Linked DNA regions of Rattus norvegicus. The protein of the gene in region 1 interacts with the protein of each later gene in a biochemical or structural test. Links are inferred from orthologs where the notes say so. Each region holds a gene or a part of one and is shown on either strand. Other genes may lie near its edges. The genes, in order: Grb2, Sos1, Met, Khdrbs1, Pdgfrb, Blnk and Dnm1.

Region 1 (3,997 bases):
GTCTCAAAAAAATTTTTTTGGATAAAAAAATTTTAATTGGCAGGTTTCTTTTTTAAGATTTATTTATTTATTTATTATATATGAGTACACTGTAGCTGTCCTCAGACACATCAGAGGAGGACATTAGATCCCATTACAGATGGTCATGAGCCACCATGTGGTTACTGGGAATTGAACTCAGGACCTCTGTAAGAGCAGTCGGTGCTCTTAACCACTGAGCCATCTCTCCAGCCCTTCCTTAATTGGCAGGTTATGTCTATACATACAAATTTTAAGAATCAAGGCTAAAATGAGGAAGCACTAAGCAAATTTTAAAATTTGCATTTCAGTGCACTACGTCTGAACAAAATGAAAATGATGTATGTTAGACTTGGCACAACTCGGGAAAATCAACTCTGACAAACACAGAAGAATAAATCTCAATAACCGTGGCCAAAGGTGTAGGCCTCTGAGGTCAGCAGGTAACGACACCAAATGCCTGTCCGGGAGTGGCAGCTCTGTCTTGCTGTCTCCTAATTCATAATTCTCCATAAGGGCTGCTGTATACATGCGACATAACAGAAATCATGGAAAAAACCCTCAGTACCAGTGAGTAGTGCTTAAAACTATTGGACTAGAGAGAATAGCAACTCAGGCTGTTAAAGAACACCGACTCCTCTTCCAGAGGACCTGGGTTCAATTCCTAACACACATATATATATGGCTGCTCACAACCCTCTGTAACTCCTGTTCAAGGTATTTGTCCTCCTTTAGCCTCTGACAGCACCAGGCATGCACACGGTTTCCATACATACATGCAGGCAAAACTCACTCAAGCACATACAAAATTAAAAATCATTTTAAAAAGCCTGGTTAGGACTATATCATTAGTCAGGAGAGGAAGGTGGACTTAATTCACAAATATCCAAAGTTCTCTTCTATTTCAAGCTATCTTACTTCACAAACTCCACGGATGATTTCTCATTTAACAATAGTTGACCTCGGGGTTGGGGATTTAGCTCAGTGGTAGAGCGCTTGCCTAGCAAGCACAAGGCCCTGGGTTCGGTCCCCAGCTCCGAAAAAAAAAAAAGGGAGGGGGGGAGTCTTTCAGCTTCCAAACTGGCTCAAAATCTTCCTTACTAACAGAGAAGAGAAACAGGAGAGAGAAAGAAGGAAAATAGTAGGCACAAAAGGATACCTTGTGAAGAAAACACCAAAATACAAATAGCACAAGCGAACAGGCAAATCCACTTGTGATCTGATGGCACTATCGATTACTTAGCAATGAATTCAGTCCTTTGGGTTTTCTAGTTCCCAGGGGGAGAACTTAAACCCCCTCAAGCACCCCGATGGCTCCTTAGTAGCCCTTCTGGCTGGCTGAAGAATACAGAGGACAGTCTAAAAGAAATGCAAACGGGGCTGGGGATTTAGCTCAGTGGTAGAGCCCTTACCTAGGAAGCGCAAGGCCCTGGGTTCGGTCCCCAGCTCCGAAAAAAAGAACCAAAAAAAAAAAAAAAAAAAAAAAAGAAATGCAAACAAGGGAAGGTATCTACCCCCCCCAAAAAGGGGATCTTAGAACGACTGAGAAAATTAACAGTGCTCAAACCGGCAGAAACTTCGAAAATTATAGCGGAGGAAGAACAAGAAGGGGAAGTAGATTATTTTCTAAAGGGGGTGGAGGCGCCAATGACTGGCGTTACAAATGTACTTCGTGGGGCTGGAAAGATGCCTCAGCGGTTAAGAGCACTGACTGCTCTTCCAGAAGTCCTGAGTTCAAATCCCGACAACCACATGATGGCTCACAACCATCTGTAATGGGATCTGGTGTGTCTGAAGAAAACTACAGTATACTCATATACATAGAATAAATAAATTTTTTAAAAAAATGTACTTCGTGTCCCTAGTGGAGTGGAATAGAGACTGAAAGGACAAAAACTGCAGGGCAAAGTGAAAGAGAGGCGAAGAAGTCAAAAGAAAGCCAATTTCTCTAGCCTCTTTTTGAATGTCAACACCATCAAAAGACGGACGTTGAACGCGCCTCGGCTTCCCGGCAAACTGCACTGCTATATAGCTTTTGAAGACACCCTAAAAATCACTTTCTTACAAACCCACACAACCTAGAGCGTTGCAAACGGACATGAACCAGCGGGGCTCTCTCCGCGAAAATCCTTCCTGCCAGCATTCCCATCAGCTGCTGCTGTTTTTCCCCCCACAACAAGTATTTTTTTTTCTCAAGTACTTCTACAAAAGAAGCTCCCAACTCTCGCAAAGACCAGTCGGTGGGTCCGGGTAACAATCATTCTAAGTCATGGTGGATTCCCGCACACAATTCGACCGCAAGATGCCAAGAGACGGTGACGTGGTTGCCTTGCAGGTCAAAGGAGCATCAATCACCACGTTAGCAGCCGGCACCGAATCCCCCGCCTCCCGGGCTCAGTCAGCCTGACTCAGAGCAGCACCCTGTGCCTCTCGGCTGCTCCGGGCTCCTCTGCGCCCAGCCGGACGGCCGCCACACCGGACCTCAATCGTCGGCTCGCCCGGTCTCTGCCCCGAGCGGGAGGAAGACCGACACCAGGAAGGAAGCGCCCCAAAAGGGGAAACGAGGAGACGGCTGCGCAGCCGCTGCGCTCCGGTCCGAGCCTTCCCCGACCCGCGAGCGGCCCGCCCCGGCAGCCCGGAGCAGACCGGGCCCGAGCTGCCCGGCGCGGCGCGGGGACGACGGAGCCCCCGCTCACTTCCCGCCCGCTCTCCTGCACTCACCGCGACGTGCCGTCCGCTCCCTCACCCGGCCTGGCCCGCCTTGTGCTGCCGCCCGCGGCCGCCAACCTCACTGCTGCTCCCTGACTGCGGCGCCCGCTGCCCAGACCGCCGTCCCCCGCCGCAGCTTGGCTCGCCCCGCCGCCGCCCGATCGCAGAAGCAGCAGAGCAGCCTAGCTTCCGCTCCTCGCCAGGGTCCCGCGAGAACTTCCCCACGCGGCCCCGCCCCGCCGCGCCCCGCCCCCGCGAGACTTTCCCCGGCGGAAAAGGCCCAGAGCGCAAGCGCTCCTCCTCCGCTCCGCCCGGCAGGTAGCCTAAGGGGGACTTCGCGCATGCGTCAGCTCGCCCCGCAGCAGGTGGCAGGGACTCGGCTCCGCCCCTGGGCCGTTGTAACCCTCTGCGTGCCGGAGCAAGTGAATTACAGCTCTGCTCTAGCGGAATAGCGCTTTCCACACTCGAATAGCGTTCTTTCTATCGAAGCAAAGCAAAGAGGCCTCGAGGAGGGGTCGAGGGGCGGCAGATCTCAGGATGGTTCGACCCAAATAGAGGACCAGATCTAGAAATGTTTGGGAATCTGGTTCGTACAACCTGCAGTGTTTGATGAACTGTTTGATTAGTCCGTTCACCGAGTGAACTACATACCTACTGTAGGTAAACACTGTGCTGGGTAAAGAAGATGAAACGACGAGCAGAGATCCTGGCCCTTAAGCGATTCAATCAATCGAGAGAAGCACCAGAAGAGTAAACAAGTAATGTCTTGGGCTGGAGAGACCTCTCAGAGGTCAAAAACAAAACAAAAAACAAAAAAACAAAACAAAAACGCTTGCTGCTCTTCCAGAGGACCTGATTTCAGTTCCCAGCACCCACATCCCATGGTTCACAACTGTCTGTAACCCCAGCTCCAGGAGATTTAGTGCCTCTGGCCTCTGATGGCACCGGCATTCACCTGCACACACCCTCGTGCAGACACACACACACACACACACACACACACACACAAACTATAACACTTACACATAGTACTTTGGGGGAATGCTGAGGAAGCCAAAAAGATGGAGAAAGGCTGGCTCTGTTCCTCTGCCCACTGCATAAAAGACTTAACAAAGAAGGTGATGTGCCGCCGAGTGCTGAGGGTGAGTAGGAGTTGCACAGCACAGGAGCCAGGGTAAGCCCATAGCCGGCAAACGGAATAGCACAGAAGAACAGAGGGATGGATGGAGGCGTGAGAAAGTCGTGTTCTGTGCCATGCAAAGTACATAGA
Region 2 (3,500 bases), on another chromosome or scaffold:
CTAATTATGAATTATTTCTGTCAAATACAGTAGCTTAAAAATTACAGAAATGTTTTAGAAGCAAATTGTAAATTTTACAATATATAAGTAATTAATAAATTTAATTTTTAATAGAAAAAAGAACACCTTGCTGCACTGAGGTAAAATTCATAGGATGAGTTACTCTAAACACTCTAAGGTTACTCAGGGCCAAGTCAGTCCCTGCAACTGCAGGGCTGCTGTCAATCCACAGGCTCATTTCTTTTAATTGAACTTGTATGATTTTTCCTTTGTTCTTTTCATAAAAATTAAGCAAACCATATGAGGATAAAGCAAACAGGTTTTAAATTCACAAGGATTTACAAACAAAGGCAACGTAGCAGGATAGACAACCTGACCTTTTATTGTTGAGAAATTACTTGAAAACCATAGCAAAGTACTGTTATGTGTTCTGATTTTAAACAGTGTAGGGAAGGCTGATGGTTGTGTGGATAGCTAGTTCATAGTTACTAAAGACTGTAGCTCTTTAAACAGCTTTGTATGTAACAAGAAAGGTAATCTATTTACCTTTTATGTAACTACTGGGCAGCTTCCATTTTCTTTTAAAAATTTTAATACTTCTTCATTCTTGAGTAATAAACACCCTGACTATAGTCCCTGGGTGAGAGTTTATAGTAACCCAGAACCCCAGACGAGGCTTCGCAGACTGCTCAACGTGCCCCAGCCCCTGTGCGCGACCACTGAAAATGTAAGTCAGAGAGGCCGAGTGAGTCACTGTAAGAACTCACAACTCACCTTTGGAAAACACTGTCGATGTCCAAAAGCTAAACAAAACTAAACTCTGGCTTATAGACCAGAGATGTGTAGATAATGGCAGCTACATTCAAAAGTGGTTTTAAATCACTAATAAAAAATAGTGCTCAAGTTTACCTGCTCTCCCTTTGGTAATTCCAACCATATGAAGCTCTTGTTATTGAAGGGAAGGCCTTGTTAAATGACACTGTTTACAAAGTGGGAAAACTAATGGCTGTTTTTAAAAGGCCAATCTCACTAGCACCAGAATAGATTCCAAAGGAAACAGAACTCACTTAGAGGACATTTTAAAAGCGGGAAAATAAATATTTTCCGCAGAAACTTACACTTCCTAAAAATAGGACTGTATTTAAATGAGAAGAATGGGGATAGAGGTTAAATTTCACATTCTAGTATCTAAGAATACCATATTATAATTTTAAACACACATTTCTTTTAAAGAAAAGAGTTTGAAAATTTCCATCTAAACTCAGAAATAGCTTTCACATCCAGTGTTTCGTGTGTGCTTTCTGACAACACACTGTGGTATACATTTGATGTTAATGTTTGAGAAGAAGACTATGGTTCTGGGATGTAACGGGAGCCTGATAGGTGACAGAGCAAAGTGTGAGCTCAGTGCTATCTGCTCCACCCCAATTCTGAGATGACAGTTATCAAACTCCCCACTATGTGTCAGACCATGTAAGATGGCGTAGTATGCCCTTTACCTCTCAACCACTGTATTTAATTCTACCTAGCATCCTTCTAGGTTTTCTCTAAAACCTGTTAAGGTAACCGTTTGCATCAGTAACATTAAGAACAAAATACTGACAATGTGAATGGCCTCCAGGCCTCCCCAAAGGATGGAGGGATGGAGAGTAAGAAATACGTGTTTCTGCCACCAGCACAATTTTGATGATGGGTAAATATTTGATGTTTTAGTCTGTAGCCCAGTTATAAAATAAGAAAAGAAAATACAGGGGTGGAAACCTTTAGACAATCACATTGATGCTTAGTTTTCTTTCTACTGCTTTTTACTGGGCAACACCAGACAAGTGACCATTTCTCTTTTGTAAATATGATAGAAAAGGTAAAAGCTTCAAAGAGAACAGAGTGAAGGTTTAGCCGACTCCTCTACGTGAGAAGGATTTGCTTGCTGTTAGTTTTCTACCTCAGGCACAGTGACCCACCCGTGGAGTCAGTCAGTCAGGAAGCAGCCTCCCCCGAGTCTCACCTGCGTACATGTGGTACGTGAGCCTCTCAATCAGCTTAACCACTGTCCCTGCCTTGATGATGGGGATGCCAGCCTTGGGCTGCACGTTCTCTTCAAACAGAATGTTCTCCTCAGAGTCGGGCTCTGCAAACCTGTACACGTCAGCACTCGGCAGCCTCATGTGCTCCTCCTTCTCCTCCTGCAGCATTGTAACGTCCAGCATTCTCTCCAGCGTGCTGCGGTACTGCAGGGATATCAGGGCTGCCATCCAGTTATTCTTCTCTTCAGCTGACTTGGCAGAAAATATAACACTATTTCCATCCTTCAGAATTATTTCGAAAGCGTGCTTGTATTCACTGGTGTCATCCTTATCGTTAATCTGTACCTTTCGCATAAAAAACTTTTCTTTAAGCCGATATTCTGCATTGCTAGCACCAGGAAGTCTTGGCTGCCCATGATTTGATTTACAGCAAATCATTAAGCCATCGAAGAGAAATATGTGTCTCTCGTGTTTGGCTCCTACACGTGTAAGAGTTCCTTCCATTATAAACTCATTGCAGCATTGTCCAATGTCTTTCCCCTCCCAACCATCAATGTTCTTCTGAATCTCATTCATCTTCTTGATGGCCAGTTGTTTCCCCTTCATTTGCTGGCTGTAAAACCGACATGCAGACTCACTGGGGTAAAGGAAAAGATGCTATTAGTACACAGAAGACAGACTTTATATAGAGTTCATGCAGATAAGGTGGCAGGGTAAAAGACAACTTAGAACATCACTGACATGTGTTTACTAATTCCCCAAATAATACATGTAATTACGCACCTATAAAAGCTAAAACAGCACAGAATTTTTCAGAGTTATAAAAAGAATAGTGATGTTGAACTATATAAAGTCAGGTACAAAACAATTATCTCTGCCTTGAATATTAAACACTTAGAAAGATAACTATAAAAAAGTAGCCCAACACAGTAAAAAAAAAATGAGATATGAAAGCAAATTGTAAGTGTTTTTAAATGCACAAGACCCAGAGATAGAAGCACATGTTACAAGGGGAAAGCAGATCTGCTACCTGCATCAATGTCTGAGTTATACAATCCCCAAACTAACCAAGCCTACGAACCTGCCTCTGACATAACAATGACGCCGGCAGATCTGCCCGGGACACTGCTCTGTCCCCTTCAGCTTACCAGCCGCTCCTCGGGAGGCCTTGTCTGGGAGCAAGCAGGGAAAATGCACAAATATGAAAGGTTTTTCAAACAATAACAAATTCTCCTGGCTTTGATGTCACTTCCTCTGAGAGACCAAGCTTGTCACTAACACCGTTTTCTTTATTGTTTACTCAAGGAGGGAAGCTAAGGCCCCTGAATTTGTACCACAACTTTCAGGATAGAAAGGAAGAAACTTTAAAATGGGAATATTTACCTCAGTCTTCGTTTTGCAAGATTTTTGGAGCAAATTTTTTCCATGCCACTTTGGACATTAAGCAGGGCTGTTATTGCTTGTTTCATACACTCC
Region 3 (3,500 bases), on another chromosome or scaffold:
TTTAAATCTAAGCTCACCCATCCCGTCCCTCAGCATACCTTCTTCATCTCTGGATCTTGATAGAAATGCTTATTTTGATGTAGTGCCAATGACCAGAGCTTTAAGTTCGTTATATAGCTCAGATAAGACTCACCACAATGAAGGAGTGGATAGCAAGACAAAACTCAGAGTGGGGATTAAGCAACAGAAGGGGAAGGATAGAAAAATCAGCAAAAGGACCCAGTTGGACTTGGGAAGAAGAGAATCACCAGGAGAAAAATCATATAAAAACATCTTTATGCTCTGTGCAAATAAATGCAAAAGAACTTGGCTTGGCGTATTAGGCACAGATATTAATACAACCAAAAAGCGACAATACCTTTTTAAAGTACATGTTTTCCCTCCGATTGAAATGTGTCTAGAATTGCCGCTGTTGAGGTATTTTCCAGTCAAAGTGAGTAAGGTGCCTCCGGCATGAGGACCATACCTTGGAGAAATACTTGTTATTACAGGATCCTGAATGGGTGGCAAAACCAAAAAGGAACTGGTTAGCTCTATTCTTTATGCAGATGAAATAAAAAACCAAACATCCCGGGTCATGACTAAAAGCAAAGCTTGGACTTACCACATAGGAAAACGCACTGTACTGTGTTGTCTCTCGACTGTTTGAGACGATCACAGACACATTGAAGTGCTCACTCATCGCGGGGCCAACTGTGCATTTCAACCTGCAAAGAAAGAGCAGAGCTTAATATGTCTCAAAGCCACACGCATTTTCTGATTTTCTGGTTTGGCTGCTTGTCGTGATGGGACCATTAACTCCAAATTGTGAGCTCATGATTCCAAATGGTAAGCTCGGTTTCATGGAAGTCATAAGGCTGAAAAGTCATGTAATCCTATTTTCTGAATGGTGGTGCCAAACTTTATATCGACCATTGTAGGACCCTTCATAGGTCACCAGTGCAGACTCACCAGCTAAGAAGTGCATGATAACCTAAGTCTGTGAAGTTATGTGTTTGGGTGTTTGGCCCATGTAGCATAATGACTGCTGCTATGTCAGCAGCATGTGAAGTAATGTGCCAGCTACGAATAGAGTAAGCCAGCTCTCTTCACCAATTTATGCCAACAACTATATTTTCTACGACTGTAGTCGTCAGAAATCTATTTAAACCACTTAAAGGCTAATGCTACTGGGACAGTTTTTCTGTAAATTATTATGGTTGTGCCATGTTGGGGACACAAGAATGCATGTAGAAGCCAGAGGCCAACCTTGGGTGTCACTTCTCAGGGGCTGTCTACTTGGTTTTACAATGTGCTCTCTCTCTGGGACCTGGAGATGCCTGATAAGGCTAGACTGGCTGACCAGAAAGCTCTAGGAGTCTTCCTGTCTCTGCTTCCCCAGTGCTGGATTATCAACAGTGAGCACCACCACACTTAACTTTTTACTTGGGTGCTGGGTATTGAGCTTGGATCCTTATACTTGATTGACAAGCGCATTAGCAACTGAGGCATCTCCTTGGCTACCAATAGTGCCAATTTTTATCCGTAATCTTATATAGCTATATATATAATAAATATATATTTATATAATAAAATTTAAATATAATTTGTTTTTACAGACTTCTAAAAAGAGAGAATGAATTGTCCTTTTTCTTTATAGCTCTTAATTCACATTCTAATAATTAAGAGTTTTGGAGAACAAAGGGATGCTTCTAGAGTAAACTCGCTTTTGCCTTTGGCCTAGCAAGCTTGACATTGACTGGTTTTGGTGATTATATTAAGGTCCTTTATGATGACCATGGAATGGAATCTATATTAGATAATTTACTTTATAGAACAGATTCAACCATAATGATTCAACTGTTGAAACTTTGGTTGTTGCTACTGCACTCCAACAAGTAATCCCTGGGTTACCTGGTCACTGTGGCATTTAGGGATTTTAGAGGGAATGTGTAGAATACAGGAGACTAAGCACAGGTCTTGATCAGAGAACAGAGCGCTGATCTCTGGCTTCGCTCAGGTAGGCTGTACCCTAGTTCTCTTAACGTTAGGCAAGAATGGAACTGACACCTCCTAAGATGTGGGGGACACCCAGATGGCAGAGTGCCATGAATATGACCTGAATATACATTTAAGCTCATCTAAAGAGTCTAAAAAGTGCTTGCCACTGTTCCAAGGACCAGCAGGTGAATCATGAACAGAGGACAGACACCCAGCTGTTTACTGATGTTCATGAGAAACCTTTGTGGGGGGCAACGTTTGAGGTCTCAAGGGGAAGACCCAGTCTTTCAAACTGTACGGGCAATTTCTGAAGAGGCTTTACTTTAGTAGTTCAAACCTCCTAGATGCTGGCCCAGCGGGATGGAAGACCAATTACCACACAAACCTACTGGTCTGAGTTTGAGCCCTGGGACCTACACTGGAAGGAGGTAACCAAGTTCCTGAAGTCATCTTCTGGCCTCCACACACAATGCTACATGTGCAACTGTACCCACAGACACTCGCCAAACACCCTAAACTACAGTAATAAACACAAATATTAGACTCCAACTCTGTATAAAGATTAAATCGAGTGAACAAGTCTAAAAACAACTCATGGAAGCTGAATTGCTCTAGGCCATACCACCTTTTCCTTTCTCCTAGTCTGTTAATAAAATGAGATTACGAGGAGAAAACCAAACACGTCTTCAAATGCTATGACAGGTCAAGACCCTTGTGAATGCATAGATGAACATGTTGAACACTATTTTTTTTTTCTTCTTCTCAGAAAACCCAATTAAAGAACCCGGCCTATCTCCCAAGGCCACTCAGCAAAGTCACCATGCTCCTTACGTATTTGTCGTGCTCTCGCTTAAGGTCAAGGTACAGCTCTCGTTGCCAAGCAGAACTTTGGTTTTCCTTAAATCAAATTTATTATTCTTCTTGAATCCAAAGTCCCAGCCACATATGGTCAGCATTGTTCCTCCTTCGAGGGGTGCACTAGTGGGGAAAACCTGCAACGATAAACCCAGCAGACTGTGATCATTTTCCACATCGTGGAAACCAAGCAAATGGTGTATTGCTTTTTAATATTTATTTTAATCCTGAAAAAGTCACACACACGTGTTTCTGTGTGTGGCTTTGCGTCTGTGAGCACACTGACTATGGAAGCCGGAAGAGTGCATTTGTTCCCCTGATCCTGGCATTACATATGTAACGCGGGTTCTAGGAACTAAACTCAGGGCCTCTGTTGAATACCTTTCTGACTCTCTGAATCAAGCAATTTATGTCTACCAGTTTGTATTTCTTAATAAAAAATTTAGTTGCTTTAAATATGGTGAAACTTTGATCTAGAACCTACATGAAGTTTTGTAATAGTACAAATTAACACTCTCTTTCTGGCAAAAAAAAAAAATCTAAACTGAGAGATCCTCAGATCAGTATTGTAGTGATGTTTCTAATTCTACTTATCAACATTATTTTATGCCATTGTAAAGATGTCTTTCCTCAATGTGCAATGTTCAGTGATCAACAGGCTAACT
Region 4 (3,500 bases), on another chromosome or scaffold:
GATACACAGTGGGACACTGTATCTCAACAGCTCCCAAATAAACCTCCCAATGTTTGCTTGCATAGCATCCGTATCAGGCACTGGACAACTAGAAGGCATTCATTTGAACGTACCTTGGCTTTGTCTCTCATCGAACCCTTCCCCAAGACAGAGATCTTTGCACCAGTCTCTTCCTGGAGTCTTTTGATTGTATTTCCTTGTGGTCCAAGAATCTTCCCCACAAAATTGAACTGTCAGAAAATTAAAAAATAGAATTCTAATACACATGCCTCTATAAAAATGTAAATATATGTAACATGCCATTTGATCTTCAACAACCCTATAAAGAATCTTTTTATGTATGAGATCCCAATTTTACTCAAGATATAGTATACCTAGTATTTAATAATTAGTGATTAGCTTTAATTATATAACTAGAAGTGATAGTTCCTATCCCTGAGTTTAGATTTCCTGATAAAGTCTTGTACTCTTTCCACAACTTACTGCAACTATTAATACTGTTACATAAACATATAACATGCATAAACTCTTTTTATTAGTGATCATACTCAGGCTTCCTACTTCTGATTCAGCAGAACAAATATACCTACCTCATGGTAGCATGTATGGTAAACTAAAATCTAGCTACTTTCCTTTAAAAAGAAAGAAGATAAACATTTTTAAAAAATTTACATTTATGGGGTTGGGGATTTAGCTCAGTGGTAGAGCGCTTGCCTAGCAAGCGCAAGGCCCTGGGTTCTGTCCCCAGCTCCGAAAAAAAAAAAAAAGAAAAAGAAAAAAAAAAATTTACATTTATTTACAAGAGGGTGTGGAGTGCACCAGAATGGAGCACCAATCAGGTAAGCCACACAGGTGGTCAGGATGTTGGTTCTTTCCTACCATATGGGTTCTGGAAATCAAATTTAGGTCTTCAGGTGTGGTGACAAGAACTTTTACCCATTGAGCCATTTTTTTTTTTTTTTTTTTTTGGTGGTTCTTTTTTTCGGAGTTGGGGACCGAACCCAGGGCCTTGCGCTTCCTAGGCAAGCGCTCTACCACTGAGCTAAATCCCCAACCCCGAGCCATTTTTCAAAACCAAAAGAATCTACTTTTTTACTTGGGTTTTTTGGTTTTTTTTTTGGTTTGGTTTTTGAAGGCAGAGTTTCTCTGTGTACCAGAGGCTGTCCTGGAACTCATTCTGTAGACCAGATTGGCCTTGAACAGAGTTCTGCCTGCCTTGTGCCACCATTGTCTGGCAGCAGCCGCTTCTTTAAAAAAGCTAGTTCTTGGGGGCTGGAGAGATGGCTCAGCGGTTAAGAGCACCCAACTGCTCTTTCAGAGGTCATGAGTTCAATTCCCAGCAACCACATGATGGCTCACAACCATCTGTAAAGAGATCCGATGCCCTCTTCTGGTGTATCTGAAGACAGCTACAGTGTACTTATATATAATAAATAAATAAATCTTTAAAAAAAGCTAGTTCTTAGGAGACTGGAGATGGCTCAGGGGTTAAGAACACTTGCTGCTCTACAAGAAGAACCAGGTTAGGCTCTTGGCAACTACATGGTAGTTTATAACCATCTGTGCTTCCAATTCCAATGCATCCCATACCCTCTTCTGCCTTCCTCAGAAACTAATCACACATGTTACATGGACATACATGCAAACTATTCATATGCATTAAATAAAAATAAAATTAACTTCATTTGATTTGAGGATATGTTATATTTTATTTGATTTAAATTCTGAGTCACAGGCAGAAAAATGGCTCATGGCTATTATCTGTTGCTTTTTCAAAAGATTTGGATTCTGTTCCCAGCACCCACAGAGCAACTCACAACCACCTGTAACCCTAGTTCCAGGGACATCTAATATACTCTTCTGGCTTCCTTTAGCACAAGGCATGTACATGGTGCACATACAATACACATGCAGGCACTTATACATAAGATAAATTCTAGCTCAATCTTTTGATAAAGGGATCCAGATTTTTACTTGAGGCCTAGAGCCTGAACAAAACATAAGAAAAAAAATTATTCTTGATTACTAAAGTATCTATTCCCTTCACTATAATTACGTTATAAGTTATGGACTTTGCTATTTGAACTCCCAGAAACAGGTACCTCAAGCACCAGGAAGCTTTACAGGTGGATGCATGGCCATCCCATCCCATCACAGCCAACAGCATATCAGCCTACAACATCAACTCAGAAGTGAGCCCCCTTCCCATTACCTTTGGATACTGCTTGACAGGGATCAGTACCCGCTCTTTCAGCTTCATGTTCTTATGAGAAAATAAGTCCAAATAATTCTCCTCGTCATCTTTTTTTGACTCTCCCTTCTGAATCTTCTCAATTTCTGAATAAGAGAAACAGAACTTAATTTCTGTACTTATAAAGTCATCTGGCAAGACTGCTTAAAGCATTATTGTGAAGTGCTGTGGAAAAACCAAACAGTTCAGACAAAATGTGCTAATTTTAGATAGACTGGATGAGGCTCCCAAAGCTGTAGGAAGTTCACTATGGGACCTGAATCCTGTTTCCCACTCTCACCAGAAGTGTCTACACCACTCGTTTACATGTTTCTTGCCTTACGAGAACATGTACTGGCCAAGCATTGGTGGTGCACACCTTTGTTCCCAGAACTTAGGAAGCAAAGGCAGGCAAATCTCCCGGCCAACCTGGTTTACAGAGCAGGTTTTAGGACATCCAGGGCTACAGAGAAACCCTGTCGACAGGAGAAAAAACAAAACAAAATTTAAAAAAAAAGTATATATGTATGCATTTATATAAATTAATGCAGTAAAGTAGGAAAAATTTTTAAAAATTAGGATAAATCAAAATCTTTAACAAGAAAAAAAAATACAAAGAGGACTAAGAGATGCCTCAGACATTAGGAAGCCACACTGCTCTTCCAGAAATCTTGAGATCAGTTCAGTACTCATGGCAGAGTGACTTTCAACCTCCACTATGGCTGCTCCAGGATCCAAAACAGTCTTCTGGACTCTATGGGCATGGGCAAGCACAAAAATTGAAACTAAAACAAAACAAAAAAAAAATTTATTTATAAAGGCTGAGCTGGGTACAGTAGCTATTTCCAACTAATTGATCACAACTCTGCAGTTGTAGAGGCAGGGGGGATCCTTGGGCTTGCTGACCAGCAGTCTAAATCAGTGAGCTCCAGGTTGAGAGAAAGACTCTCTCTTGAACTCTTCCCCCCCCCCCCCCCCCGCCCCCGGAGCTGGGGAGCAAGCGCTCTACCACTGAGCTAAATCCCCAACCTCTTAAGACTCTCTCTTAAGAAATAAGGTACTGCCAGTTGTGGTGCTGAAGGAGGCAGAGGCAGGAGGATCACGAGTTGGAGGCCAGCCTGGGAAACACATTTGGGCTGGAGAGATGGCTCAATGGCTAAAGCACCGACTACTCTTCCAGAGGTCCTGAGTTCGATTGTAAGCAACCACATGGTGGCTCACAACCATCTGTAATGAGATCTGATGCCCTCTCCTGGTGTGTCTGAGGACA
Region 5 (3,500 bases), on another chromosome or scaffold:
GCCTTAACCCCCAGGGAGGAATGGAACTAACACATTGTGCAAGGGAATGGAGCAGTGTCAGAGAGGTCAGGAGCGCGTCCCCGCATTCTCTGTGTGTACCCTTCCAAAGTTACTCCTGTCTTTGCCTTTTAAATCAACAAACAACAAAACAAAAAAACAAGTATCCCTTTTGAAGTCATCAGAAAGAGTTGGATTACTGGTAGGGTACTGGAGAGGTTGGCTTGTAGAAGGCAGAGGAACTACGGCAGGGAGCCTGGCTCTCTGTCCCTTATGTCCTTAAGGCAAGAGAACAAGACACCTAGAACACAAGGATGCTCCATGGGTTCCAGGAGTCACATGAACAGAAGGCTTGGGATGGAGCCTGGCTCACTGAAATGGCACTCCCCCCACCCCCCATGACCATCATTACTATCCGGTCAGAGTGCTGCCTCTGGGAAGTGACTGCCCCAGGGCCCACACTTGCACCTTGGGACAAGGAGTTCCCATATGCTTGGCAGGCACTCACTGGGTGCTGCCTCCCCCATACCTGGGTAGGGAGAGCCCCACCGGCAGGGCGTTGCTGTAGAGCTCAGTGCTGGGTGGACAATGCTTGTTGGAGTGTCGTTGCAGGAAGGTGTGTTTGTTTCGGTGCAGGTAGTCCACCAGGTCACCATAACGGCAGTATTCCGTGATAATGTAGATGGGCCCTGCAGAAGGACAGGCTCAGGGACAGACTCTGAGGAAGGCCTCAGTCTTCCCAGCATGGCCACAAAGCCAATATGGAGTCTTGGTGGTGTGGAGACACAGCAAGACGGCAGAGATGCTGGCACCTTGCGGACCTGGGTTGCTTCCCTGCCTCTGTGGGTGCAAACAAGCTGCTAATCTCCAGGGTGCTTCCTTTGCCCATCTGGCCAGGGGCTGACACCCGCCCTTGACCCCTGAGATGCCTTTGAGGGCTCAGCATGTAGCAAGCCTATGATACCAGTTGCCGTGGCTGTTTTCAGACTGGTGCACACTTCAGATGCTGGTCTACACAGAGCAGGGGAACGTGATGGTTAGCACAATGTGCTGAATACACTTAAGTTCAACACACTTACGGCCATCTAACAGATGAAAACAACACTTTTGAAATATAGTCATTGCAGGCACAGCCAGCAGTCCGCGCACGATGTACTTCTGTATTTAGACTGATTACACAATACTGAGGAAAATCCCAGATCTCACAACAAGCAGCTGCAAAGGGCAATAACTTCATGATTATTATTATGTAGATAGCCCAGTGGGTAACCAGGCCCTCAAACAATCGCAGTTGGCAGAGTGACTTCCAACACTGATGCGAGCAAAACCAGTTCCTGGTTAGTACATGGTTCTGCTTGTCTCTGTGTTGTAGAAGTTGTTACTTTCTCGCAGTTTTCAGAATGTATTGTAGAAATATGAAAAGGGGGACTGGAGAGATGGTCAGCTGTTAAGAGCACTTGTTCATGACACCACCTTGGTTCAACACCCATCATTTACACAGTGGCTCACAAGCATCTGTCACTCCAGTTTCAGGAGATCCGATGACCTCTTCTGGCCTTCTCAGGTACCAGACACACACACACACACACACACACACACACACACACACACACACACACACACACACTGACATACAGACAAAACAAAAACAAAACAAAACAACAAACCCATTCACATAAAATCTAAGAACCTGAAAAAAAAATCTGAAAAGACTTGAATTCTAAAACTGCAGGAACTAGTAGCCTGAGGGATCTCTTCACTGTGAAGGTATTGTGAGTCGGAGATTCTAAAACTGAGCCCATCCAGGACAGTGAAATAAGAGCCCTGGGCGGCAGTATGTGGACACTCTGTTGGGGGTGTTCTGTTGTTGATGGACTGAGGGATAACAGGAAAGAGAGGAGCCCCAGAATCCTCCGGGGCATGGGTTCAGTACCTCCTTTGGTACAGGCCCCCAGCAGGTTGACCACGTTCAGGTGGGGTCCGAGATGACTCATGATCTTCAGCTCCGACATGAGGGCTTGCTTCTCACTGCTTCTGGCTGTAGCTGAGGGGGAAGAGGGACTCAGCCTGGGTGGGCCACTGAGGCAGTGTAGAGGCCCTGCCAGGGCCTACTCTGCTTCCTCTGCCCCACCCTGTTGTACCACTAGTGTCCTAGGGTGGACATAGGAGAGGGAAGAAGGTGGGAGGAGGGGAGAGAAGGAGGAAGCACCCAAAAAGGTCACAGTGAGGAGCCCTTCTGTCCCACAACCTCAGGACCAGGCTCCTTCAGAAGAAACTAAAAGGACAAGGAAGGGTAGGACCAAGTGAGATCCTGGGTGTGAAGAAGGGGTGGGTTACCTCACATTTCGAGACTCACATTTCAGCATCTTGACAGCCACTTTCATGGTGGCCTGTGAGTGGCTCAGACCATGAGCCGTGGCCTCCACCACCTGTCCGAAAGCCCCAGAGCCAAGAGTGCGTCCTAGGATGGATAGAACCCCTCAGCTCCTGGGAGCTGGATCCCTCATCCCATCTTTCTGTTTAGGTTGGGGAATATTCTCTTAGGTCACCTTCCACATCTGTCCAACCACTCTACTGTGCTCCCCCTCAGGAGGTTTCCCATCCTCTGGGTCTCCTCTAGATCCTGAATGCTATCTGTCTCCCCTGGAGTCCCTGAAAGACCTCCTGCCTCCTTGGGCAAGCCCAGCTCCTCTGTAACTGCCTCAGACCCCCCGGCCTACATCCAATACTTCCTCTTTGGCCTGGAGGAGTCCCATATTAACCTTGGGGTTCCAGGGCTTCAGTGCTATGGGGTCACCTTATCTTCACCACAGAGAAAGGATACTAAAACCCAGAGAAGGCAAGATATCAGCTCTATGTCTCAGCTAGTAGCAGCCACACTGGGAGAAGGTCCTAGTGTCCCCATTGCCACTTAACGCCTCTTAGAACTGACCCAGAACAAGCTGGTCCCGTGGCAGCTCCCAGGTGGAGTCGTAAGGCAACTGCACAGGATCCACATAGATGTACTCATGGCCGTCAGAGCTCACAGACTCAATGACCTTCCATCGGATCTCATAGCGTGGTTTCTGTAGGAAACAAGACCAATAACAGAGGAGACAGCCAGAGGGCATCTTTGGCCTTGAGCCTATCAGGTCCAGCCCCTTAGGTGGCAAATGAGACAGGAGACTCTGAGACCAAGAGAGGGCAGGGACGTATTTGAAAATGACACAACGGATGGCTAGCAAAACCAAGGCCTCCGTGAGCTCAGAGGCAACTCACTAAGGGGACTCAGGGGCAGAAAGTATGGCTGAGAAACCCTGAGGACGCAGCCTCTAGACAGCAACTGGCAGCATGGCCCACACTCACTAGAGCTGCTTTACTAGTTTCTCTCTGAGCCCCAGTTACTCCTCAGACGGAAAGAGCAGGTTACCCAGAAAGCGACATATGATAGGACAGATTCCAAATGCCTACTCTGTCTCTGTGGGGTCTCAAAAGGACACAGCCTTTGGATGTGGAAATCTTAG
Region 6 (4,074 bases), on another chromosome or scaffold:
GGGTGCCTTGGGAGACTTCCATCCTCACACTGAGGATCTCCTACACACACACACACACACACACACACACACACACACACACACACAATCCTGCCTGTGTTTGCTTCCTTGGTTCACTCTGCTTCTCTTCCTGGTCATCCCTCTGCTTCCAGTCTCTCTCGAGACCTGGACATGTAGCCCCTGGGTCTGGGTCATTCCACTGAGCCCCTTTCGTGACTAGAATACTCACTGTATGGCTTTATTACAGCATTGCTGTTTGCCTGGCTTCATTTTGATCACACTCCTCTATAGGCTTTGATGGGTTTGAAAGACTCCAAACACCACATTGCAATCTGGAGCCAAGTAACTCTCTGGGCAACCTTCTAAACTGCTGTTGACCAGTCAGGAGAGGGCACACAGTCTCCCTTTTCACTTCAGTGTCTTTAACTCTAGATGCTTGGGATCCTTAAGTTCCTTGCACGCCCAGAACCTGTGCCTTCAGCTTCCCCTATGCAGTCCGTCCTGTTCATTCTGTAACAGAACAAACGCTGCCCAACCCTCCCCCGCCCCCCTGCTAACTTCTCACCAGGTCACCTATTTACAGAAAACATTTTGGGTGGTGTTTTGAGTTGTTTCGTTTACAGTCGCATTTCTTTGCAATCTGACTGCACATCTCATCAAAATGGGCTGAGTCTGGGCAGACAACTCAGTAACCAAGTGCAGGAAAACGTTGCTTTGCTCTCAGCAGATGGGCGTAGCATGTGATTATCTGCAATATAATTTTGGCCGTCTAGCCTATAATATGATTACATAATGCCCACCACCCACTCCATGATTAGACTGGACTTTGTCCCATGGGGGAGGGATCCTAAGGTGATTAAAATTCTATTGCTCTCTTTGTTTTGACTCTCATCTAGGTTCCCTGGAGCACCTTCTGAGGCTCTGGGCGGCTTTAGGTTAGGGACCGTTGGGACCTCTGCTCAGAGCAGCCCCTGCACGAGACCTTGTCAGTTCTCTGCCACATCTGACCGCTCCCTGCATGTCCCTCCTCACTGCTGTGCCCCTAACTCTAGACGCTTGGGATCCTAACATTCCCAGCACCCCCAGAACTCGTGCCTTCAGTTTAACCATGCCAGTTCTCTCTCTAACAGCACAAACACTGCCCAACTCTGTATGGTTAGACACCACCCACCTCATTCTTTTCAGCTGGCCCCACCAGACAGGACCAATGTCCCAGGGCCCTCTCACCCTATACGTTCCACTCCATGGCCTCTGCTGGGCAGAACTTTCCTCGCTAGCGCACATTTGAGACTGCGCTTACATCAGATTGTGCATGTGAGCTTGCAGCCTCCTCAGCGTGTAACCTGTCCCCCCAGTTCTCCGTCTGCTTTTTCTCAGCTGCCTCTCAAAAGCTTAACTCTTAAAGCATCGTCTTCATGAAAACTTCTCTGCAACTTATTATTTCCACTGTTTCCTCTCCACCCCTCCCCTCCATGAGATGCCCAGCAAAAGACGTAGGGTGCCTGTGGGACCTTCTGACTTCCATGTTAAGGACTCTGTGGCTCTCCTGGGCATGCTCTATAAAATGGCTGACCAGCCGATGCTGCCCTCTGATCTGGACCCCTTAGTACATCTCAGTCTGCCTCTTACCAAACCCCTTAGAGTGAGAAGACCCACATGCTGCTGTGGAAGACTGTCCTTCTACCAACTCTATATTCTTTTCTTGTCATTTGTCTCAGAATCTCCAGTTCTCCAGCTCCTAAGTATGACCTCATGAAAGTCCAAAGTTCCAGTCTGCACACGGAATATAACACGTCCTTAAACATTTTGAGTTCTGGCCTCAGAAAGTCATCATCAGCACCACTCCAAAAGACAAAGTTCTCCAAACTCAAAAATTGGGAAGTCGTCTTTGCATGGTCTCTTGACTTGTGACTTAGGCCACTGCTGGCTTATTCTTGTTAGCATATATGTATATTTTAATTGCCAACGCTGCCTTTAAAATGATTGTTGTTATCATTAGTATATGTGCATGTGTGAAATGTGTGTGGGCATGACCAGTCAGGGAATGCGCGTGCCAGGCAGTGAGTATGGAGTCAAAGGCCAGCCTTGTGGAGTTGCTTCTCTCTTTCCATTTTTATCTGGGCTGTGGGCATAGACCTTAAGTCACCAGGCCCGCATGATCAGCACTTTGTCCAATGAGCTAGTGGACTGGCCCTTAAGCACTTTTTAAAATAGATAGTCATGAGGGTTTTAGAAAGGCCTGTGGTTCCCCCAGTAAACTTAGGATGAACATCCACAAAACAAACAAGAGACAGTGACTGACAGTGACCACACATGCTCTTCACGCAGTGCACAAGCCCTTCCCCCAGCAGCATCTTATTCAGACCCAGAAAGCTGACTGTGGGTAGCATGTGTGCCATCAAATTTTCTATCTTCTTGCCTTTCCAGAGCTTCACCCTTTGTCCTATCGCTGGCAAAAACCCAGCCAAAGCAGGTCCCTTCACTCTTCCTACACATTTCTTTAAAAACCTGACCTACTTCCCTATCGCCACTGCCAACCAATTCCTCGGAACTGGTCAAGTATTCCATGGTTTTGGTACCTCTGAGCCCTTGGAGGAGCACTAAAGGGGAGAGAAGAGGAATACAGATCCAAAGGGAAACTCTTACCTCAGCTTCTGACTGGCAGGGACAGTTATTTTATTCAGTTTGTCCATTTTTCTTGAGAGGGGCTGTGGAGTCGCTGTCCAGAGGGATGTCAGCAGCTCCTGGGCTTCCTGGGGAGCAGCATGGTAAGACTCTGGCCTCAAGGGCTCATGCCACTGGAACTGACTTCTGAGAGCAACCGCAGGCTGCTGGCAAACACCCCTACACAGGGGAAGTAAAACTCGCTGGAGCACATCGCCAAGTTTCGTGTTTCTACGAGGTCATGTGATCCAGCGAGTCAGCCAGCCTGGATGATTACTGTGCGTTGTGTAAACTTCAGTAGTGAAACCTTATTGGGCATGCAAATCCCTTTTCAGCAGCTCTCTTTTATGATCAGGTTTGTTGCCAGGTTGGAATAAGCTTCTGGTTGACTGAGCACGACTTCCTGTTTGTCCCAAACCTTAGGTAGTCCCTGTTTTCAGCAGATGGCCAGAGTCATCCTGCCACTTCTCAGGTACCAGGAAAAGCTGAATAATCGATGATATCTGGATGACTGTTGGGGGCTTTCTGCTCATTTGCATAAAGCCGTGAAGAAGCCTTTTCTTCTTAGATAACAGAGACACGAATTGGACAGCTCTTGGAGCCAAGGTCACAGCAGTGGTCATTTAAACTGTGATGGGTAATTCTTTGTGCGAGGTCAAGGTCACTCAGGGGTAGAGATAGGTGACTCCATCCTACGCTATGTGGAGTCAGGAGTTGCCTCGTCAAAAGCTTGACATTCTTAAATAAAGCCAAGATATACTCAGAAGTCAGCTGAGAGCAAACCCAGCAATTTCCAAGCACATGACATCAGGAAGATACCTCCTAACTCCCCTCGGCGTCTGTGGCCTCTCATCAGACCGAACATCATGCATCCCACACCTGCCGCTGACCCCATCCAGACAGCTCTGCTGCCCTCCTCAAGAACCCCCAATTCCTCTGTCTACTCTGCAAGCTTCTGATTTAGCTGAGTTAAAGAGCAGAAAGCAGTCTAGGGCTAAGAATTTTTTTAAAAAATGAGAGCGGGGTGTTCTTTCTCCCCTTTTTACCCGAACACCCCCACCCCAACTCCTGTCACCTGGCATGTCCTGGTCACCTTTGTGAAAGGAGATTATGTTCCAAACTTTATCAAAGGACCATTGACCTGGGTCTAAAGAATGCATGGGAGTTGGGGGAACAAAGTAGAGGGACTTTGGTTATCTCTCATGTTATAGCTACAAGGCCTGGCTGAAGAGAAAGTGGGAAGGCGGACCAGGCAGAGAAGGGAGGACAGGAGATGGAGAGCAAAAGTGGATTTCTTCTCCCCTGGGTTCTTTGTTCAAACAGAAGTCCTTCTATCTTTCCGAATCCTTGACTGTTCTCATTCCTGCTCTATATCTGAATTTCCCATTCTTCAGGACGTCCGAGAGCTGA
Region 7 (3,500 bases), on another chromosome or scaffold:
GTCTGCTTCGGATCACTGAAGAGGGGCAGCTGTGTGGGGAGGGAGTGGACAGGGGATGAGGGGGGCAGCGTGGAAGGTTTGAGATACATGAAGACCAGAGCCGCTGTGACAATCCTCACTTCGCAGGTCAGCGCACCATTGGGGTCATCACCAAGTTGGACCTGATGGACGAGGGCACAGATGCTCGGGATGTGCTGGAGAACAAGCTGCTCCCATTGCGCAGAGGTAGGCAAAGGGCAGGCTTTCCCCACACCTCCCTTCCTGAGGGGCCGGTTGACCCTTGACCTTGACCCTTGACCTTGACCCTTGACCTTGACCGTACCGCATAGGCTACATTGGCGTGGTGAACCGGAGCCAGAAGGACATAGATGGCAAGAAGGATATCACAGCCGCCTTGGCTGCCGAGCGCAAATTCTTCCTCTCCCACCCATCCTACCGCCACTTGGCTGACCGCATGGGCACACCCTACCTGCAGAAGGTCCTCAACCAGGTAGGGGGGCAGGCCAGGCCCGGGCCTGGGAAAACAAGAGTAACTTCAGATGCATCTTTTTCTGTTTGTGTTTTGGTTTTGTGAAGTTTTATTTTATTTTATACGTATGGCTGCTTTGTTTGCGTCCACTGCCCGAGAATGTCAGAAGACAGTGTTAGCTCCCCCTGGGACTGGAGTTACAGATGGTTTTCAGCTGTCGTGAGGGTGCTGGGAATCAAACCTGGATGCTCTTAACTGCAGAGCTCTCCAGCCCCGTTATCTCAGTTCATCTTAAGGATGACCAAGATAGATTAGCACCCAGTACAGAACCACCTAGATCCAGGGAAGGAAAGCCACTTGCCCCAGTTCCACGGGGAGGTAGTGACAGGGTTTGGCTGACCTTTCCTGTCTGGGATGTGGAGGGGAGCCTCAGGACTCGCAGCATGTATAGAAGACCAGGATTTTGTGTGGATGGCGGCACTGACTAGAGATTGCTGGAATATTCAGCTGGACATCCTGGTCCTTTTGTCAGGATCCAGAGAGGCTGATCCAGGAACCGCAAACATTCAAGAGGCTTCCCTGGGATGTTCTCCCTTTTGGAGTGTGTATAGGGGGCAGTCAAGACTACCATAGACCTGGGTTCCATTCTCTGCCCCATTCTCACCCTTTGCAACACTACTTTCTGAAAAAGAGGACAGTAGTGACCAGACCCTGCCCCTTAGTGTCCCCACGATGGCTCATGCAGATAGGGTATAGACAAACCTAGCAGACTTGAACACATGAACTTGAGACTTACCTTTAGATAATTGGAGCCCGGAGGAGTGCAAGGTGGGGTGTCCTTCAGCCTTCCATGCCTAAGTACATTTGTGTTCTGGTACCCAAAACATTCAATCACTCAATGCTAGGTAGCTTTAAGTATCGACGCAGATTCCTGGCTTCTGTCAGAAACCGAGCTATGGCATATTGATTCTGATAGCTCATCTCTGGGAGCACCTGCAGAGCTCCTGGCCTGCCTGCTGTCGCAGGGGTTCTCAATCTGTGGGTCACAACCCCTTTGGGGGCTGAATGACCCTTTCACAGGGGTTGCACATGAGACATCCTGCGTATCATGCATTTACATTGCTGTATCACGTGTTTACATTGCTGTTCACGACGGAAGCAAAATCACAATTGTGAGGTAGCAACAGAAATGATCTTATGGTTGGGGGAGGGGGGGTCACCACAGTAGGAGGAATTAATTGTATTCAAGAGTCGTAGCACCAGGAAGGTCGAGAACCACTGCTGGACAGCTGCTGGCCCAGTCCTCCTCAGCTCCGCGCCTCACCGCATCCACACAGCCTCCCGGCACCCCTCCTTCCCCATCCATGCCTAGGCCTGTGGACATTTAAGCTTGTGACCTTGGTTTTAACCTTTCCTTTCCTCACCACGCCCAGCAACTGACCAACCACATCCGGGACACGCTGCCGGGACTTCGGAACAAACTGCAGAGCCAGCTGCTGTCCATTGAGAAGGAGGTGGACGAGTACAAGAACTTCCGACCGGATGACCCAGCGCGCAAGACCAAGGCCCTGCTGCAGTAAGGCTCCTGGCCCCAGTCCCCGGGGCTGAACTACTCCAGCCCCCCCTCCCCCACTCCAGGGCCCAGGGCTCCCTCCTCTGCATCTTCAGGCCACGCCCTTCTCCCACACAGGATGGTCCAGCAGTTTGCAGTGGACTTCGAGAAGCGCATTGAGGGTTCTGGAGACCAGATCGACACTTATGAACTGTCAGGTGGAGCCCGCATTAACCGGATCTTCCACGAACGCTTCCCTTTTGAGCTGGTTAAGGTAGGTCCCTGCAGTCCCAGGCAGGAGAGTAGGCCCTGTCTCTCTCTAGAAGCAGGGCTCTAGGAGTAGTAGTGTCTCTCCTAGTAGCAGGGCTGACACTGACCAGCCTTCTGTCTGTTCACCGCAGATGGAGTTTGATGAGAAGGAACTGCGAAGGGAGATCAGCTACGCTATCAAGAACATTCATGGCATCAGGCATGTACTGGGACCAGGGTGGGGCCGGCACCCTGCTAGGCAAGGGGCACGGGGCCTGAAGGAGCCTCCGGCAGTAAAGACCTGAGTCCTGGTTTTCAAACCCCTTAACCCCACTTTCTGGCTCCTAGGTCAGCAGGCTGCAGCTAAGGGAGGTGGCTGGGAGGCTTGGGCTCTCAGTAGAGTGCAATCCACTGGTCACCTTGGCTGTCCTTGGGAGAGTGGCCTGGAGGCACAGGGTACAGGTGTCCAAGGAAGCACTCTACAGGGATGGGTGCAACAACTCTGTCCAGTGCCACCCAGGACACTGAGCAAAGGGTAGGATTACATAGCACCCAGATATCATTCTACATCACTTTATGAAGGGAGTTTTCAATTTGTTAGACTCTCCCAGGACCCCCCCCCCCATTTTACCCACTCTCCTCCTAAGCCACCCGTTGGTGCATAAAGGAGGCTGGGGGATACCGACTGCTCTTTGGACACCCACCCCCCTCCCTCAGGGACCCAGACTCTCACCTGACACCCCTGTGAACCAGGCAGGAGAGCCCCGTGCTCCTCCTTAGGTTCTGTGCTATGTCTTGGCATGAAATTTACAATGCGATAACTACGTTGGCCTAGTTGGAAGACCTCCCCTCCTACTCTTAAAAAGAAGAAAAGCTCAGTTCTCAGAATGGCTCTTAAGGAGGCCTCGGTTTGGTTTTCCAAAGAGTCTGAGGCTATAGAACCTTTCACAGCAACTCTTAAGAGGAAGCAAAAGGTACACGGGAGAGACTCAGAGTTGTCTAGCCCAAGGATCACTGATGGAAAACCTCTCAGTAGAACTTCCCAACCCACTGACAAGTTGGGGTCACTGAGGCTCAGAAAGGGTAGTGGGAGGACTCTTCCCCCCAGGCACAGGGGCTGGAGAGGGACCCTGGCCTGGCACTCCTGACAAGTGCCAGCCAGTGACACTGTGCCCTTCTCCTGCTCCGGGCGTTCAGAACGGGGCTGTTTACCCCAGACATGGCCTTTGA

Evidence for each region.
Region 2: the proteins of Grb2 (region 1) and Sos1 form a complex in vitro, tested with the Homo sapiens proteins (15 studies listed by BioGRID and IntAct, with this or other methods). The link is inferred for Rattus norvegicus from reciprocal best matches to the Homo sapiens genes GRB2 and SOS1.
Region 3: the proteins of Grb2 (region 1) and Met form a complex in vitro, tested with the Homo sapiens proteins (3 studies listed by BioGRID and IntAct, with this or other methods). The link is inferred for Rattus norvegicus from reciprocal best matches to the Homo sapiens genes GRB2 and MET.
Region 4: the proteins of Grb2 (region 1) and Khdrbs1 form a complex in vitro, tested with the Homo sapiens proteins (3 studies listed by BioGRID, with this or other methods). The link is inferred for Rattus norvegicus from reciprocal best matches to the Homo sapiens genes GRB2 and KHDRBS1.
Region 5: the proteins of Grb2 (region 1) and Pdgfrb form a complex in vitro, tested with the Homo sapiens proteins (2 studies listed by BioGRID). The link is inferred for Rattus norvegicus from reciprocal best matches to the Homo sapiens genes GRB2 and PDGFRB.
Region 6: the proteins of Grb2 (region 1) and Blnk form a complex in vitro, tested with the Homo sapiens proteins (3 studies listed by BioGRID and IntAct, with this or other methods). The link is inferred for Rattus norvegicus from reciprocal best matches to the Homo sapiens genes GRB2 and BLNK.
Region 7: the proteins of Grb2 (region 1) and Dnm1 form a complex in vitro, tested with the Homo sapiens proteins (5 studies listed by BioGRID and IntAct, with this or other methods). The link is inferred for Rattus norvegicus from reciprocal best matches to the Homo sapiens genes GRB2 and DNM1.

The regions. Positions count from the first base shown.
Region 1 is NC_086028.1:101,445,339-101,449,335, forward strand, and holds the start of Grb2 (growth factor receptor-bound protein 2), read right to left. Parts: upstream 2,801-3,997; 5' UTR 2,740-2,800; intron 1-2,739. UniProt on the Homo sapiens protein: Non-enzymatic adapter protein that plays a pivotal role in precisely regulated signaling cascades from cell surface receptors to cellular responses, including signaling transduction and gene expression.
Region 2 is NC_086024.1:20,327,617-20,331,116, reverse strand, and holds part of Sos1 (son of sevenless homolog 1), read right to left. Parts: coding exon 3,408-3,500; intron 2,662-3,407; coding exon 2,006-2,661; intron 1-2,005.
Region 3 is NC_086022.1:46,822,823-46,826,322, reverse strand, and holds part of Met (hepatocyte growth factor receptor), read right to left. Parts: intron 2,973-3,500; coding exon 2,812-2,972; intron 708-2,811; coding exon 605-707; intron 496-604; coding exon 359-495; intron 1-358. UniProt on the Homo sapiens protein: Receptor tyrosine kinase that transduces signals from the extracellular matrix into the cytoplasm by binding to hepatocyte growth factor/HGF ligand. Regulates many physiological processes including proliferation, scattering, morphogenesis and survival.
Region 4 is NC_086023.1:147,359,949-147,363,448, forward strand, and holds part of Khdrbs1 (KH domain-containing, RNA-binding, signal transduction-associated protein 1), read right to left. Parts: intron 2,338-3,500; coding exon 2,213-2,337; intron 231-2,212; coding exon 114-230; intron 1-113. UniProt on the Homo sapiens protein: Recruited and tyrosine phosphorylated by several receptor systems, for example the T-cell, leptin and insulin receptors. Once phosphorylated, functions as an adapter protein in signal transduction cascades by binding to SH2 and SH3 domain-containing proteins.
Region 5 is NC_086036.1:56,797,848-56,801,347, reverse strand, and holds part of Pdgfrb (platelet-derived growth factor receptor beta precursor), read right to left. Parts: intron 3,063-3,500; coding exon 2,930-3,062; intron 2,459-2,929; coding exon 2,354-2,458; intron 2,042-2,353; coding exon 1,931-2,041; intron 687-1,930; coding exon 527-686; intron 1-526. UniProt on the Homo sapiens protein: Tyrosine-protein kinase that acts as a cell-surface receptor for homodimeric PDGFB and PDGFD and for heterodimers formed by PDGFA and PDGFB, and plays an essential role in the regulation of embryonic development, cell proliferation, survival, differentiation, chemotaxis and migration.
Region 6 is NC_086019.1:249,767,734-249,771,807, forward strand, and holds the start of Blnk (B-cell linker protein), read right to left. Parts: upstream 2,801-4,074; 5' UTR 2,694-2,800; coding exon 2,647-2,693; intron 1-2,646. UniProt on the Homo sapiens protein: Functions as a central linker protein, downstream of the B-cell receptor (BCR), bridging the SYK kinase to a multitude of signaling pathways and regulating biological outcomes of B-cell function and development.
Region 7 is NC_086021.1:36,029,290-36,032,789, reverse strand, and holds part of Dnm1 (dynamin-1), read left to right. Parts: intron 1-126; coding exon 127-225; intron 226-329; coding exon 330-490; intron 491-1,902; coding exon 1,903-2,045; intron 2,046-2,159; coding exon 2,160-2,295; intron 2,296-2,422; coding exon 2,423-2,490; intron 2,491-3,467; coding exon of another isoform or gene 3,468-3,500. UniProt on the Homo sapiens protein: Catalyzes the hydrolysis of GTP and utilizes this energy to mediate vesicle scission and participates in many forms of endocytosis, such as clathrin-mediated endocytosis or synaptic vesicle endocytosis as well as rapid endocytosis (RE).